Linked DNA regions of Kluyveromyces lactis. The protein of the gene in region 2 purifies or fractionates together with the protein of the main gene of each other region. This does not show direct contact. Links are inferred from orthologs where the notes say so. Each region holds a gene or a part of one and is shown on either strand. Other genes may lie near its edges.

The links.
Region 1: the proteins of PWP2 (region 2) and MPP10 purify together in Saccharomyces cerevisiae (affinity purification with mass spectrometry, with the first as the bait; 7 studies listed by BioGRID). This does not show direct contact. The link is inferred for Kluyveromyces lactis from reciprocal best matches to the Saccharomyces cerevisiae genes PWP2 and MPP10.
Region 3: the proteins of PWP2 (region 2) and NOC4 purify together in Saccharomyces cerevisiae (affinity purification with mass spectrometry; 10 studies listed by BioGRID, with this or other methods). This does not show direct contact. The link is inferred for Kluyveromyces lactis from reciprocal best matches to the Saccharomyces cerevisiae genes PWP2 and NOC4.

The regions. Positions count from the first base shown.
Region 1 is NC_006040.1:821,749-825,315, reverse strand, and holds MPP10 (rRNA-processing protein MPP10), read left to right. Parts: upstream 1-1,190; coding exon 1,191-3,017; downstream 3,018-3,567. Other genes in the region: AVT1 (Avt1p), read left to right, coding at 1-798; NOC3 (Noc3p), read right to left, coding at 3,117-3,567. UniProt on the Saccharomyces cerevisiae protein: Involved in nucleolar processing of pre-18S ribosomal RNA. Required for the early cleavages at sites A0, A1 and A2 during 18S ribosomal pre-RNA processing.
Region 2 is NC_006039.1:783,086-786,846, forward strand, and holds the start of PWP2 (snoRNA-binding rRNA-processing protein PWP2), read left to right. Parts: upstream 1-1,450; coding exon 1,451-3,761. Other genes in the region: YIH1 (Yih1p), read left to right, coding at 1-154; MPP6 (Mpp6p), read right to left, coding at 271-798. UniProt on the Saccharomyces cerevisiae protein: Required for bud-site selection and cell separation. Also involved in nucleolar processing of pre-18S ribosomal RNA.
Region 3 is NC_006038.1:953,213-956,253, forward strand, and holds NOC4 (ribosome biosynthesis protein NOC4), read left to right. Parts: upstream 1-906; coding exon 907-2,472; downstream 2,473-3,041. Other genes in the region: PPT1 (protein serine/threonine phosphatase), read left to right, coding at 2,736-3,041. UniProt on the Saccharomyces cerevisiae protein: Involved in nucleolar processing of pre-18S ribosomal RNA and ribosome assembly. Has a role in the nuclear export of 40S pre-ribosomal subunit to the cytoplasm.

The DNA.
Region 1 (3,567 bases), on a different chromosome or scaffold from region 2:
CCATTAAGTGTTTTATCAAATATCTCTTTGTTGGGTATTATCTCGACTATTGGAACTGCATTGTTAGTAGTTTTCTGTGGGTTGCTAAAACAATATTCACCAGGGTCATTATTGCAACCAGAAGCCACATCGATGTGGCCCAATTCATTCAAGGAGTTTTGTCTTTCCTTAGGGTTATTGAGTGCATGCTGGGGAGGTCACGCAGTCTTTCCCAACTTAAAGAGTGATATGAGGCATCCGGAGAAGTTTACTCGTTGTTTGAAGACCACTTATAGCATCACCATTGTTACTGATATCGGAATTGCTGTCGTTGGATTTTTAATGTTCGGTAATCTTGTTATGAATGAAGTGACAAGAAGTGTGTTATTGACTCCAGGATACCCGCCTTTTGTTTATGGCCTAATTTCAACTCTTCTTTCACTGATTCCACTTGCCAAAACACCACTTAATGCAAGACCGATTGTCTCCATCTTTGATTCAATGTTTAACGTAGTGCACATCGATGAAACTAAACCAGCATCGAAGGTTTTTTTCGCAAAGGCAACCAGAATATTTAACAGAATCATGGTGAATGTTATGTTCGTGATTATTGCTATTTTATTCCCTGAATTTGACAAAATAATTGCATTCTTGGGTGCTGCACTTTGTTTCATGATTTGTTTCATTCTGCCATGTTTGTTCTACAAAAGAATTTGCTACAAAACCATTAAATCTTGGGAATTGATAGCGTGTAATATTACGATATTAATTAGTGCAGTATTATCCACTCTTGGAGTATACGCCTCCTTCACCTCATGAATTACCTACAAATGCTGTTGAATTTGCCAGCACCTCATTCTTGTATATGCATCTACGTGTCTTTATGCAAAATTTTAGCACCCAAACTAAGGGAATCACACTTCATATAATGACTTTTCACCCATATGTACTTCTGTCTAGTATTCATCACCCAACCAATGCCTCACAACTGTGTCTATTATCTCTCTTCTTACCCGCATTGGCGACAGTTCCCATCATTTTTTTCTTTTTCAAATTTTTGGATACCTGAAAAATTGATGAAAACTCATCTCATCGCATCACTCAGCATGTACGAAATATGCGTCTATAGTAGCAGCTTGATCGTATCGATACATCCACTACAGCTACACCAGTAAATAGGTAACGTTTCACTGACCCACACATAACACAACATGAGTCAGTTTTTGGAAATTTTGAAAACTAATCCTGTTGGACTTCTTTCCCAGGATGCTCTGGAGTCCAAGGAACCACTATCGGCAGTGAAGACTTACTTTGACGAAGTCATCAATCTGAATAAAAACAATGGAAATTCAAAGACAACATTAGATGAGATAGTGGTTGATGGGCTAGATGCTAACCAGGTATGGTGGCAGTCAAAAATCATTTTAGATAATGTTCAAGGTGATATCATGGAAAAAATCGCCGAACTGAAGGTTGATAATGAGAATGATATGAGCGAGGAAAGCAGCGGAGACGAAGATGATGCCTCTAATGTTGAAAATTCCAATGAAATGTCTGCAGACGAAGCTCCAGTTTCTGAAGAGTCTGCTATTGAAGAGGAGGAGGAAGAAGCAGAAAATGAAGAGCTCGTTTTAGATGAAGAACAACAGTTCTCAGAACCAGAACCTTTAGAATTACATGAGAAGGAAGAAGATAAATTGGAAAACGAAAGTGATTCGGAACCTGATGATCAATTTGTAGAAGCACAAGAAAGTCCACAAGCGATCGAAGACAAGTTTGGTGTAAACGATCAATTTTTCAATCTAGATGAATTCAATAGACAAACACTTGAGGCTGAGAATAGAAGCCAAGATGCAGATGAAGAAGATGAGGATGACGAAGAAGTTGATTATTTCGCAGATGTTCCATCGGAGGAAGATGAAGAAGCTCTATATTACGACGATTTCTTTGATAAGCCATCTAATAAAAAATCTTCCCAGGACAGGCGGCCAGGACCTTCAAAGAAAGCAGAGGCCGAAGAGGATGAATCCTTTGACGAAAGCGAGTATGATGATGCAATGGAGGAAGCTAAGTTAGATCTTTTTGCTGACGAAGACGATGATTTTCAGGGATCAGATGAAGAAACTGCTGAACAACCATTATCTACCTTTGAACGTCAACAACTTGAGCTAAAAAGACAAATAGAATCCCTCGAAAAGGAAGCTGTTGCTGAGAAGAAATGGGCGTTAAAAGGTGAAGTAAAAGCTCGCGATAGGCCAGAAGATGCCTTGTTAACGGAAGATCTTGAGTTCGAAAGAACTGCCAAACCTGTGCCAGTTATAACAGCTGAGGTAACAGAAACTCTCGAGAATATGATCCGTAGAAGGATCAAGGAAGAAGATTTTAACGATCTACAGAGGAGGGTTATCAGCGATATTTCAGGCTACAATAATAAACCAAGATTCGAACTAAGTGATGTAAAGTCATCAAAATCACTAGCTGAAATTTATGAAGATGATTTCAAAGGTGTTACCGAGGATACTGAAATATCAGAAGAATTACAGAAAAGTCACGATGAAATTTCAGAGCTATATAAAGATTTGGTTTACAAACTAGATGCATTATCGTCAGCCCACTTCATACCTAAGCCGATAAAGAAAGATCTTGAAGTAAGAGTGCAAACCGCCGCTATTTCTATGGAAGATGCACAACCACTAACAATGTCAAGTGGTTCCACATTAGCTCCTCAGGAAATCTACAAAGTTGGTAAATCAGAGAACTCTAATGAAATAACTTTGAAGAATGGTGTGGTGATGTCCAGAGATGAACTGTCCAGAGAGGATAAAAACAGACTCCGTAGAGCTGCTAAGAGAAAGAGATCGAAGCTATCTGCGAAAAGAGCCGAACAACCTAGAAAGAAGAGTAAGACGGATGATGTTCTTAATACCTTGACTAAATCCAAGAACATAACCGTTATCGATAAAAAGGGTGCCAAAACTGATGTTAAGGGTAATATAAAGAAGGATAATGCATCTGGTAACATCAATTTCAAGTTATAGACACTGTTACAGTAAGTATATATTACTATAATTAATGCAATTGCATTGAAATGAAGGTGGTAAATAAGAGAATTCTTAATTATCTTTTTATCCCCCAAACTATTTATGTTCTTGAGATTTATGGAATAATGATCTTACACCTTTTACAACAGAAGGACTGTAATGCTTGACAAGAAGGCTATTTTCCCATATAGTTGCTGCTTCTGCATTACTTCTACTTGGTAAGTCTGTGTCGATGCGGAACTCCCCATTTCCAATTCTATCGTCTGTAGAGTATAAACCCAGTACTTCTGGATATTTGGTAGTTAGTTTATCCAAAAACTTCAGCAGTGCAATTGATGTTTTTTCTGGAGTGTGCAGCAAAGCCATGTAAATTCTCTTTGTGAACGCAGCAGCTCTTTGTTTAGTGCCAGATTTTGATCTGAAAAAGACATGATCAAGGGCTTTCAACAATAACTCTGCTTTTGTTGATACGTTAACTGATGGTTTGACGAGTTCATTATTCAAGGGGTCGGCCAACCTTAGCGATTTGTGTGAGAATTCAATATCA
Region 2 (3,761 bases):
GAATGTAATTGTTGCCGTTGGAAGATGGTTCGGAGGAGTTCATATTGGTCCAGATAGATTCAAGCATATAAATTCAACAACTAGAGAAGTAATATTGAAGGGGCATTTCACAGAAGCTGCTACCTCTACTTCAAGTAAGAAGAGGTCAAAATAGTTCACATTTATAGAATGGAGTATTGTTACCGGAATTTGATCTACTCTATTTATTATATAAGTCGGCGAAAATAATATACAAATACTAGTGTCTCATTTAGCATCCTGCTATGAAGTTTAATTTCTATTCCTTTTTGACTTCTTCTTATTCCTCTCAGTATTACCATTACCATTGGATTTCTTCTGTTTCTTAGTCTGTGTTTCGGCTTCCCATAGCTTTTCTAAATCTGTCGTCGACACATCGTCCTCGTCCTTTTCTTCAAAACTTCTTTTCTTATCATTAGAACTCCCATCTGAACCGGGCGTAGCTCGTCCGAGTTTATTTCCGAATATTCTTCTTCCTGCATTTACACTAGTCCGTAGTGTGCTTGTGCTGAGATCGTTTGTATCGATCTTCGAATCCTCATCATTCAGTGACTTGATAGCAGAGAAACCTACGTTCTGTACCACTTTTGATTTATTAGCAAGTTTTGTCAAGAGTTTTACATTGTCACCTATCCTCCATTCTGACGAGTCCACCAATTTCTTTATTGTCTCCTCGGTCTGTTTAACTTTGTCTGCTTGTTCCGCATGCTTCATGAACTTCATGTTCATCACTCTATTGGATAACTTGCCTGTGACTTCATGCCGTTTCTGTCCACTCATTGTTACCTTTTCGTCTTAGTGCCCCTATTACCGCTTTCAAATAGGCTTCACTATATCATTGACACTGGAATACATTTTTAATGTATCATTAAAGTCCTAATACAGCTCATCTCATCAATCTTCTGCTGAATGGTTTGATCTTACATATTAGAATTTCATGAAAAGTTTGTTTACGATTGTCCGGAAAATGAAAGATAGCAAGAAGATAGAAATATCCATGGTTAAACCCCGTCGGACGTATTTCAGAATGCAAGGATCTGCACTATAAAAGGAACATTGTACAAAAATAAATGAAATAAAAAGGTCATTGGTAAAAGTATGAAAACAGCTATAATGAAGTACTCATACTAAGTTTCAAGTGCTGACATAAACGACAATCCACCCAAAAACCGACATGTTTCTGTTCTCTCTTTCTTTACTTCCGTGCTAAAGCTGTATATGTTTTCCTTTCTTTTTCATTCAGCATACAGGATTTCGAAAAATTTAAGAGAAAAAATTGAGCGATGAGATGAGATGAGATGAGATGAGTTCAAGCAGGAAGTGCAGACGGATTATCAGTCACTTGTAAGGACTTTGCATTATAATCAGTTGTTCAATTTCAATTAGTTGGAAGGAATCAGGTCAGACGAGCTTTATAAGGGTTTAGTTACGGATGAAGTCTGATTTTAAGTTTTCCAATCTTTTGGGAACTGTTTATAGGCAAGGTAACGTCTTGTTCTCTCAAGATGGTTCCAAGTTACTTTCACCGGTAGGTAATAGGGTGTCGGTATTTGATTTGATCAACAATACTGCTTTTACCTTCGAATATGAACATAGGAAGAACGTTGCCGTTGTAGATATCAACAAGCAAGGTACGTTACTTCTTTCCATTGATGTCGATGGTCGTGGTATCTTGGCGAACTTTAAGACAAGAAACGTATTGCATCATTTCAACTTCAAAGAAAAGGTTTATGACTTGAAGTTTTCACCTGATGGCAAGTTATTTGCGCTGGCTTGTGGGAGATTCTTACAAATATGGAGGACACCCGAGACCACTGAGGATAGACAGTTTGCACCTTTTGTTCGTTATAGAATCCATGCCGGCCACTTTTCTGATATAACTTCCTTGACATGGTCAAAAGATTCAAGATTTATTATATCCACATCCAAGGACCTAACGGCAAGGATATGGTCAGTTAACTCGGAGGAGAAAAATCTTGCATCGACGACTTTTGCAGGACATAGAGATAACGTTATCGGAGCATATTTCAGCGATGACCAGGAAAAGATATACACGGTCAGTAAAGATGGTGCCTTATTCCAATGGGAATACACCAAAAAGCCTGGTGAAGGGGAAGACAATGATGAAGATGAGGAAGATGTAGATTTGTCAAAATATAGTTGGAGAATCACAAAGAAGAATTTTTTCCATGCAAACAGAGCAAAGGTGAAGTGTTCTGCATTCCATGCTGCATCCAACATATTAACAGTCGGTTTCTCAAACGGTGAATTCCGACTCTATGAACTGCCAGAATTCATCATGATTCAACAACTTTCAATGGGTCAAAATGCAGTTAATACGGTTGCCATCAACAGTTCTGGTGAATGGTTGGCTTTCGGTTCTAGTAAACTTGGGCAATTGATAGTGTACGAATGGCAATCAGAGTCATATATTCTAAAACAACAAGGTCATTTCGATACGTTAAATGGATTGTGTTACTCCCCAGATGGATCGAAGATTGTCACAGCAAGTCACGAAGGTAAGATCAAGATTTGGGATGTCGCGTCAGGTTTCTGTTTGGCAACTTTTGATGAACATGCAGGTGGTGTAAGTGCAGTAGAATTTGCTAAAAAAGGTCAAGTTTTGTTTTCAGCTTCTTTGGATGGTACCGTGAAAGCATGGGACTTGATCAGATATCGTAATTTCAGAACGTTCACTGCGACCGAAAGAATACAGTTCAACTCATTAGCAGTTGATCCAAGCGGAGAAGTTGTATGTGCCGGGTCGGAAGATAGCTTTGACATTTTTGTTTGGTCAGTACAGACTGGTCAGTTAGTGGATACACTATCTGGCCATGAAGGTCCTATCTCCTGTTTATCTTTCAGTAATGAGAATGGAGTTTTGGCATCCGCTTCATGGGATAAAACAATTAGAGTGTGGTCTCTCTTCGGTAGAAGTCAACAGGTAGAGCCTTTTGAAGTATTTTCTGATGTTTTATCTATTTCTATGAAACCGGATGGTCAACAAATAGCTGCAAGTACTCTAGCGGGGCAAATATTATTCTTTGATGTTGCTGAGGGCAAACAGGTGGGAAATATTGACGGCAAAAGGGATATAATCTCGGGTAGACATTTGGAAGATCGGTTCACATCAGAAAGTTCAGCAAGATCTAAATATTTTACCACCATTCATTACAGTTTCGATGGTCTCTCTTTGGTTGCAGCCGGTAACAATAATTCCATATGTCTTTATGACATTCCAAACGAAGTACTGCTAAGAAGATTTACCGTATCCAAAAACATGATGTTAAACGGCACCATGGAGTTTTTAAACTCAAGTAGAATGACAGAAGCAGGATCTTTGGATCTCATTGATCAAGATGCAGAAAATTCAGACTTGGAAGATCGCGTAGATAACAGCCTTCCTGGTTCGAATAGAGGAGGTGACTTATCGACAAGAAGAGTCAGACCGGCGATCAGAGTGACGTCTATAAGATTCTCTCCTACTGCTAATGCATTTGCCGCCGGTTCAACAGAAGGTTTACTTGTATATTCCGTTGATAATACTATTCTTTTTGATCCTTTCGATCTTGACGTCGATGTGACTCCACAGAATGTTATCCAAAGCTTAGATGACAAGGAATATCTCAATGCCATACTAATGGCTTTCCGTCTAAATGAGGGCTATCTAATCCACAGAGTATATGAGAATATTCCAATAAAGGATATTCCATTGATAGCTCACGAGTTGCCAGTGGTTTACG
Region 3 (3,041 bases), on a different chromosome or scaffold from region 2:
GTATCACGGCATTTTTTTCTATCTAATATTTACGTTTACGTTTACAGTTAGTTTAGTTTTTGAAATGAATCGCACAAGGCGATTCATATTAGCAAGAAGCAAGACTCAAACACACAAACTCACATCAAGTCTATACATGGGATGACCTTCCCAAAAAGAATCAGAATTTTATAAAAAGTGTCCCAAATCATTCAAAGAATGTAACAAGATTATAAGGCTTGCGAGGGCACCACATTCTCCATTAAAACCATGAACAGAAAATAATTCCCATCCACGAAAGAATTGTAAGAATTAAAAAAGCGCAAATAGTATCATCGTCTTCTTTTAAAACTTGGAAGGTCATGTGGATTTAAGCCCAAAAAGAGTAATACAAGTAAAGCCTATCAAAGTTACATCTCTTCTACATCACCAATTGTGTCTTGTAATTTCTTGGTTCATAAATCTTTCTCTTATATATGATGAAATTCGGGCTAGATCATTTTATACTAATCGTTGAAATTTGTATGCTGTTAGGGCTCATAGGCTGCCGTGAACTGGAGGATACGCACCCCCTGAAGGAACGAGCATCAGTGTGCGTATTCAAGGTGATGCAGGCAAGACTTGACTGACAACAGAATGGTTTACCACTCTAAATTATATATTTAATGTCGCCATTGATAGCTAGTTTATTAGGAAATGCGATCACGTGATAAGAATAATTTCTTTTCAATTGTCTTCTACATTGCAAGAATCTCTGAAAAATTTGGAATCAAGAGATGAGATGAGATGAGATGAGATGAGATGAAGTCGAATAGGAAACGTTAAGGTAGGATATTCTCACCGTTATAATCTGTTTGATTACTCGCAATAAATAATTGGAATTCACATATAAAAGTTTCCCAAGGATTCAGACAGCGATTAACCAAGATGCTCTCGAAGGAAGAGATTAAGCAAGTTTGGAAGTCTATTAGCACCGGCAATGATAGAAAACATTACAACTCGTTGGTGAACCTAATCCATGGGTACAATGAACTTCTAAAGGAAAACGAATTGTTGCACAATTTGGAAGATGATTACCGTTATATGACCATTGCTTTGAGTCAGATTTTCATCAAACTTTTTGAGCGTGGTCAATTGATGCCTCATCTTGCATCCAATGCCAATGAAAAGAAATTCTTTGAATGGTGTAAGAAACTATATTTAAATTATAAGGTTAAGTTATTGGCTATCATTACATCTTTGCATGAAGTTAACTCGTTGAGTTTAGATTGTTTGGACTCATATATGAAAATGCTTCACCATGAATCGATATATTGGGCTTCGAAACCAAATAGTCCTTTCTTTCCAAATAAGACTTTAAGATCGTTACTAGTGGCTCTTTTCCATTGTAACTTTGAAGGTGATATCGGTTTCAAAGATGGTCAGAGCGAGAATCCCGTGTTTAATCTATTTGTGGAAGCCTATTATAAGAAGAATTTCGATATTCAATTCTACACACAATCAGAACTGATATCGTTGTTACCAGAACTTGATGGCCAAACATCTGACGAAATTTTGATGTCTAAATGGTTGGCTTTATGCAACAACGATGTTCAGGGATCACCAGACTTGGAAATATTCGTATCTGTGCCCCCACAAGCCATCGAGAATGATGCTAAGTTTAAATCCAACCTCGAAACAAATTGGTTGCACTGTCTAAATTTAGCCAACTTATCCAGTAGCCAATATAAAACTGTGCTTTTAGTGCTACACAAGAGAATTATAGTATGGTTCCATCAACCAACAAAGCTTATGGATTTCCTTACCGACTCTTACAACCAAGGTGGTATCGTTTCAATCCTTTCATTAAATGGTTTGTTTGAACTTATGAAAAAATACAACCTAGAATATCCAAATTTCTACTCAAAACTATATCAGCTTCTAACTCCAGAAGTAATGCACGTTAAGTACAGATCAAGATTTTTCAGATTAGTGGACACCTTTCTATCTTCTACACATTTATCCGCACAACTGGTAGCGTCATTCATCAAACGTTTGGCACGTTTATCCGTATCGGCACCACCAGGTGCTATTGTTTCTATAATACCATTCGTGTACAATCTAATCAGAAAGCATCCTACATGTATGATTCTATTACACGATCCAGAATACATCGACTGCGATTCAAAGAAAAGGCAAGAATATCTAGATCCATTCAACAATGAAGAAACCAATCCAGAACTTACAAATGCTCTTTCCTCCTCAGTATGGGAGCTAGAAACGCTAATGAATCACTACCATCCAAACGTAGCCACTTTAGCGAAGATTTTCCAACAACCTTTCCAAAAGTTAAGCTACAACATCGAAGATTTCTTAGATTGGTCTTACGATTCACTTTTGCAAGCAGAAACCAATAGAAAGCTGAAGATCCAACCTGCTCTTGAATTCGAAAGGTTTGAAACAATTTTCGAATCAGGTTCTGATTCAGCATTCCTACCCTTCATAAAATGGTAAATACATAATTTCAAGTAGAAAACTTAAGTAGTTCAATTCCAAATTGAGTACTTTCTTTCACTTTCGCAAATCTCTTCACATTACATCTCATCACATCGCCGTAATATTGAAACATCGAGATGAAAAAAATCAACAAGTCAACATCAAGAAGAGAAAGACTCACATCAGAAAAAACTTTAAAATGGGCTCCGTTTATCGGTCTTGAGGACTTAAAGGCACATACCATACCAGTTGGCTGCTTTTTTACCACTACTATTGAATAAATGACTGAGGAAGTGAAAGCCTGTAATCCAGAGAAAGCCTTAGAGCTGAAGAATGAAGGTAACAAGTTCGTGAAGGAGAAACTGTACGCAAAGGCAGCTGAGTATTATACAAAAGCCATCGAGCATGATCCCGAGAATACGATCCTATATTCAAACCGTGCGTTCACCAACCTAAAGTTGGATAACTTCCAAAGTTCTTTAGACGATGCTAAACGTGCAATTGAATTGGATAATAACAATTTGAAAGCCTATCACCGCAGAGCTATGTCTTACATTGGGCTACTAGAGTTTAGAAAGGCAAGGAAG